2 linked regions of the Drosophila melanogaster genome follow. The protein of the gene in region 1 interacts with the protein of each later gene in a pairwise test. Each region holds a gene or a part of one and is shown in the gene's direction. Other genes may lie near its edges.

What was found. The genes of interacting proteins can lie anywhere in the genome.
Region 2: the proteins of NimB4 (region 1) and CG15022 interact in a two-hybrid assay, tested with the Drosophila melanogaster proteins (one large-scale study listed by BioGRID).

What each region holds. Positions count from the first base shown.
Region 1 is NT_033779.5:13,968,053-13,971,810, reverse strand, and holds NimB4 (nimrod B4), read left to right. Parts: upstream 1-1,834; 5' UTR 1,835-1,902; coding exon 1,903-2,192; intron 2,193-2,350; coding exon 2,351-2,914; intron 2,915-2,975; coding exon 2,976-3,468; 3' UTR 3,469-3,531; downstream 3,532-3,758. Other genes in the region: NimB5 (nimrod B5), read right to left, coding at 1-70, 130-672, 945-1,252.
Region 2 is NT_037436.4:4,458,576-4,461,982, reverse strand, and holds CG15022 (uncharacterized protein), read left to right. Parts: upstream 1-1,665; 5' UTR 1,666-1,735; coding exon 1,736-1,738; intron 1,739-1,800; coding exon 1,801-2,685; 3' UTR 2,686-2,790; downstream 2,791-3,407. Other genes in the region: CG15023 (uncharacterized protein), read left to right, coding at 664-666, 731-1,237.

The sequences.
Region 1 (3,758 bases):
CTCATGGTAGGTATATCCCGGATCGCATAGACATCGGTTTCGGCTGACACACACGCCATTGTTGCACTTCCTGCACCGAATAAAGATTGCCATTAGTCTGGTATTCCCAGCATGAAGTTTTCAGCTTACTGATAGCAATCGGCCTGGCAGACACCATCCCTCAGATTGTAACCAGGAGCGCAGTCGCACTGGTTGTTGTCCTTGCAGAGTCCGCCGATTCCACAGTCCGGTTCGCAGACGGGCTGGCATCCGTCGTCGGTCAGCTGATAGCCCTTGGAGCAGCCACAGATCTCCGGTTCGGTGCAGTTGTGCCGCGGACTGCTGCCACAGCCACTGCTGCAGATCGGGCGGCAGAAGCGTCGCGTCTCGTCCAGCTTGTAGCCCGGATCACACTGACAGCTGCCGTCCAGATAGCACTGACCATTTTGGCAGCCCAGCGGGCAGGCAAACACACAGTCACCGTTGTCGTTACGCACAAAGCCATCATAGCACTCGCACTCACCAGGAATCTTACAGCTTCCGTTCTGGCAGCCACATTGCGCCCGGCACACGGTTACGCCCATCAGACGACTGGCCGAGTATCCGGTGCAGCAGACCTCGATCAGGGACAGCCGGTTGGCCTGGTCCGTCTGGATGACACTGGGGTACGAGTACTTTTCCACCGTATCGGGGCTGCTCGAATGTTGGAAAACAAAAAATATTATAACTAAGTTCACCACATTGCTTCCAATTCTCAGTCTATGCTTATGAATTTTGGCAACTAAAAGTTTTACAAATTCTGGGAGTACAGATAAGGCTTGCGATATTATGTTCACAGTAGAAAGTTTATATATATATTTCTGATTATCAAAACATACATATATATATATACATTGTTAAAATAAAAAAATTTTGTTAATGTATATATACTTCAACGTTGTTTTCTGTGTATCTGACATACTTACGGCACCCAAATGCGGCATTTGTGTTGCCCCCTATCGGATTGCGTTTCATGTGATCGAATGAGATACTCTCGTCGTTTCGGCTGCAACTCCACATTTCTGGGATCTTGGAAGTTGGCTGGTCCAGGTCGATTATAGGACAACTGCCGGTTTTCCATGTACCCGCGGCCATAGGTTCCCATTCCTGGATCCTGGGACACAGGCCTTCTGTTGTACCGATCCGAATAGCTTGGCACATTTGTGTAAATACTGGGCAGACACACCATCAGGTGGAAAAAACTTAGACGAATGCGCAAGTCTCGCAACCACATCTTGAGCACTCCTTATTTCAAGTTTCTAGGTGTTCACAATTTGCCAGCTAGAATTGTACTAATTTTCGCCACTGAAACAGAATTAATTTTTTTTGTCTTATCAGAAAAGCAGCTATATTCGATGCATAGGCTAAGATGAGAGGAATTTGGTTCAGTTTGTTTATGAGAGTTTATTATTATGAATACATGTAAGTCGAAATTTTTAAGTGTTGCGACTTGTTTATACCTCAGTTGGATAATTTTCTAAAATATTTTTTCTAATTTTATTTTGAACGAGCCCAAAGCATATTTAAATATAAATAAAATAAAATAAAATATATTTGAATATGCTAATTTACATACCCAAAAGATACTTTTGGTTACTGAAATATTTTATTTGCATCCCATCACTATTTATCCGGGAAATTACAATTCGTAATGAAAGAACATAAAACTTAAGACGATCTTTAGCTCGTTCTTACTTGACATACATTGGCATTGCGAGCCCTGGATCTCCCCCTCCAGATCCGAATTAAGCGCTGAAGCCCTCTTATCATTGCCTCCGGCTGTGATTAGAGGCTGGCCCAACTGCGTCGTCTCCGGAGCAGTAAACAATAGCGACTTGAGCGTTTCGGTAGCGCGCCACAAAGGAATCCGCGCCCAGCACTGAGATGTCAACAATACTGCGATCTCTGTGCCTCCACTCGGTGCTCCTGGTCCTGTTCCTCTGCGTGCTGCACGGCCTGGAGCTGCAACTTCACGAGCAACAGCTGCAGCAGCAAAAGGACGAGCAGCTGCGCCTGCGCGCGGAGCAACGCCAGCGGGAACTGCTGCGTGAGCACGAGGCTCTACAGCGACGCCTCTCGTCCTCGACCACCACACGGAAACCCTATATAATACCCAACGGTTTGTCGCTGCCCCGGAGAGGGGAACATCCGGACAAGTGCCGACAGGAAGTGCCGTAAGTGTGTGCCGGTGACAATCTAAGCCCATTAAATCCTTGGGCTCTTTTAGACCTTGCCCATAACCAGCACAAGTTCTCGTATGGTTTATAACTTTTAATTTTACTGATATATCTCAAAAGCACACATGCATTGTATACACCAATCCAATCTCCAGGGCCGTGTTCTTTCAGTACGACAAGGAGGTGAAGATTGTGGGCAACAGCTCCACCAATCCCTACATGAACGTGATCGAGGTTTGTTGCAAGGGCTGGCGCCGCTATGAATATGACTGGAGCCAGTGCGTTCCGGATTGCGGTGAGCGGTGCCAGGAGAACGGCTTCTGTGTGGCGGGCGGCAAATGCGTGTGCTTCACGGACTTTGTGCTCAACTACCGCAACAATTGTGTGCCCACCTGTCCGTTGGGCTGTCCGCATGGTCGCTGTTACTTGAACGGCACCTGCCAGTGCGATAAGGGATACGAGCTGGACGGATCGCGCAAATTCTGCCAGCCGCAGTGCAACGCCACCTGTGGCCACAACGAGGTCTGCTTGGAGCCGGGCAAGTGCTCCTGCGCCGAGGGATATACCCGAGGACTGAGGGAGTCCGCCGCCCTGGGATGCCAACCGATTTGTATTCCGGACTGCGGATACGGTCACTGCGTGCGGCCCAACGAATGCGAGTGCTTCCCCGGATTCCAAAAACGCAAGAACGGCATCACCTGCGAAGGCGATTGCTATATGTGAGTGTTAGAACTAGACGCCTCTCCTTTTACATTTAATAATTTAATAAATTTCTTTCAGGACCTGCGAGAATGGCTTCTGTGCAAACAAAACGACGTGCGTGTGTCAGAACGGATATCGATACGATAAGAATACGACGACCTGTCTGCCGGATTGCGGGGACAACTGCGATAATGGGGTGTGCATCTCGCCGGGCAACTGCCGCTGCTTCAAGGGCTACGTCCGGAATCGGGAGCGATGCGAGGCGGTCTGCGTGGGTGGATGTGGTTTTTACGGCAAATGCATCGCACCGAATGTGTGCGGATGCGCCATAGTCCCGGGTCCGGAACGCACCTACCAGCGTTGCGAGTACGGATTGTGCAACGCCATGGGAAGATGCCGCTGCCAGGTGGGCATGACGCGATTCATCGATCGCTGCATGTCGCCGGACACGGTCACCACATACGCCTCTATGAATCCCGTCAAGGTGAACGCATCGCTCATCCAGGAATTCAATCTTCTGCTGGGCAGGCACTTCAACTTGACCACACTCAGCGATATGTGGTGGTTGTGAGTTCGGAGCTCTCACTTTTCCAGCATCACTGAGCAGTCTCTAATAAATATTCATGCATTTCCCAAGACGTTGTGTTCTTATCAGGGGTGTCTGAAATATCTTGTGGCTTCATCTCTTGGGATTTCGCTTTTTTGAAGCAAGTCTAGCTTAAATTGTAAACGTACGTCGAAGATTTGGTACCCTCTCGAAAGTTGTTTCATTTGAATAGGTATTTATTATTTGGTATATCACTTATTTTCTGCATAGTCAACATACCCCACGAATACCGGGTACTGAACACATAATTATCT
Region 2 (3,407 bases), on another chromosome or scaffold:
CGCTTCCAGCGACGGAACTACCTCTTCAGATGCACTGAGAGAAAATTTAGCTTGACTAGCTTAAAATAAATAACATTAAGTGCATGTACCTTTCATGTATGAATGAATTTCATTAATTAACATTTAAAATATGTAGCAACCCATATCAGAATGCAAGTACTCGCTGATTACTTATTTCAAATTGATTCAAAATCTGCTCAGAATTTTTATGAATTTATGACTGTTTTTCTGTGTGCTAAGCTTTTGTGCCCCAGGTTCCGTCGGAAGTTTGGTCATACCTTTAACACCGTAACAATGAAAACCCAAGTGACGACGTTGATGAAAAACGGCTCAGTAGGGCCCCATATAGGCATAATAGTTCCGAAACAAAGTTGGCGATGTTGACGCTGCTCCTCTGTCAACTTCGGCGCACTATTGTGGCGCTAATCATTCATATAAACATGGCTGCGGAGAGCGCTACAGATACAGATACATTTACCGATACAAAGAATGCCGTGGGGCTAGCGGTGTTATATCGATTTAAATGATAATAATTGGCCTCTAGAGCGCCATGGACAGTATCGATCTGTTTTAGAATTTTGACTATAAATAAACCGACGTGGATGCAAACGCTCAATCATTTGTGGTTTAAGAGCTCAAGGTGTTAGACATATCATAAAGGAGATGGTGAGTGTGGTCAGTTGTAGATATGAGAAGCAATCTGAACTTCACGATTTCTTTCCTATTTCAGAAGCTATTCATTTTGGCTACCTGTCTGCTGGCTTTTGCAGCCGGTGATGTTTCGCATTTGCCGCTGGAACTCCTGGAGGAGCATCATGAGCATGGCTATGGCTATGACTACCCCAAGCCGGAGATACCATTTGTGATTACCTCGACGACGGAGCCACCACCGCCACCACCGACTTATCTGCCACCCAAACCAGTACCCACTTACCTACCTCCTCCTCCGCCCACAACCACAACTACCACCACAACCACTCCGGCTCCTACTCCCGCTCCTACCTACCTTCCTCCCCCTCCACCTACTACCACTACCACGACAACCACTCCCGCTCCCACTCCTGCTCCCACTTACCTTCCTCCCCCACCTCCACCACCGCGTACCACTACCACCACCACCACTACAACCACAACGACACCTGCACCCACGCCAGTGCCCACGTACCTTCCACCCCCACCACCACAACCGGAACCGGGTTACCACTACGATGTGCCCGCCCAAGAGTTCACCTTCTGAGCAAAATCGCGATCGAACTGAACATGGAAGATTTCCCCGGATTAGTTTTGTTTTAAATCGTTCCACTAGGCTTAGGTTTATATAAGGTTAAAGCCATCTCAATAAACGCTGTTTTGTTAACCCCATTAGCATCGGTATCTCCCAAATATTTATTGGGATGGGACAAAAGTGGTACAGATGGCCGAGTCAATCACCGTCAATTGTCTGGGATTTCGTCGCATCCGCTGCATATTCATGAGCTGCTTTGTTGTGCAGAGCTAATTTGGTCGAAATCGCATTAATTGTTTTGGGGTAGAGGGAGATAACACACGCCGATAATTGGCCGACCTCAAGTTCATGAAAACCAAGAAAAGTGTGAAGAAAACCAAATAGCCAGCCGGTCGAGGAAGGCGCGATCTTTGTATAAAAGCGGTGACCATCGACGTTATTGACATTACTACCTGCTGTCATCAAACGGCAGCAACATCATCTCGATCGGTGGATTATCTCTTAAAGGAAATGGTAAACAGTAGCGGCATATTCTCTAATAAAGATGACCTAACAGGAGGTTGGTTATTTTACAGAAACCCATGCTGATCCTTTTGGCTCTGGCAGGCTTTGCCATCTGTATTCGGGCAGACGTGTCCCACCTGTACGGAGGAGGTTACCACGATCACGGCCATGATCACCATCACCACCATGATCACGATCACGATCATGATCACCACCACTATGATGTCCATTCCCACCACCATTCTCCCTCGTCACACGATCATCATGATCTGCACATTGATCTGCACTATCAGCCGGATCACCACCATCATCATCATCAAGAGGCCAAGTTCGATATCCCTAGCGGATATAGCTATGGACCTCCAGAGAAACCTCGCCAGAAGTACCTGCCGCCCAAGGTTTCCCTGCCACCGCCACCACCTCCACCGCCCAAGGCAACTTATCTGCCTCCCTCAAAGCCTGAAGTGAAGTACCTGCCCCCCGAACCGGTGGCCAAGTATCTGCCACCCAAGGTCGCTCCCAGCCTGCCTCCTCCACCACCACCTCCAGTTGTGGCGCCCAAGCCCACATATCTGCCTCCCAGTCCGCCAGAGTCCAAGTACCTTCCTCCTCCGACGCCCGAGGTGAAGTATCTGCCACCTGCTCCAGTGGCAAGGTATCTGCCACCCAAGGTTGCACCCAGTCTGCCACCACCACCTCCACCCCCACCAGTGGCTCCCAAGAAGCTGTATCTTCCTCCTGCCGAGCCGGAGACTAAGTACCTGCCACCTTCCGAGCCCGTCGAGAAGTATCTGCCTCCTAAGCCCGAACAAAAATATCTGCCACCCCAGCCTGAGGTAGATTTCCACATACCGATTCCATCCTATGCACTGCCCTTGGGCCCTGCACCAAGTCCAATCCACGACGCCGAGCCTGGTTACCACTACAAGCCTCCACTTCGCCGTTTCAGGCATTAGGATAATCAACCACCGAAAAAAAACCAAACCACAAGCACTGCATCTAGTTTTAAGCTGTACACATTAAAAGCATTTTTAACAAAAAATAAAATGGAGTATTACACCACTCGCACTCTTTCCCCATCCTCAAGGTCAAAGATATCAAACCCAAATTGCTGTCACCCAGCCCCCAAGGGATCCATGTGGATTTCAATCTGACCTCCAAATCTAATTGCGGCCAATCAACCGAAATAGCCAAACGGCTTCGGTTTTAGCTTTAGTTCAGCTCGATCATCACCTGCAGTGTCGATAATTACTGTCTTTTTGGATGAAAAATGATGTGAGTTTTGGTTTGAATATATTTATAGGGATTGATCGGTGTCGGTTACAGAAAGGTTCAAACCGAACCAAAATCGCTAATCGCCAATTGCAGCCATCGGCAATGGGACGACAGTTGACCTCTTTCAATGTTGCCCAGAGATGGGGCAAGTCTTTTAAAGGTGCCATGAAAAGATTAGACAGAAATAAATAATTAAGCCCCTAACGAATTGAGTATGCTCTTTTGAAAAGGGTTAAAGTTTAAATGTTTAAACATTAGGTTACTTTAATAGCACACTTGATTTGTCTTTCATTTTGTCTTTAAGCATTTTAATTAAAACCTGATAGTGATGTATCAATAATGTTATACATTTCTTAGGTACATGATGACTAATGCATACGAAATAAATAGTCTAACAACTCCA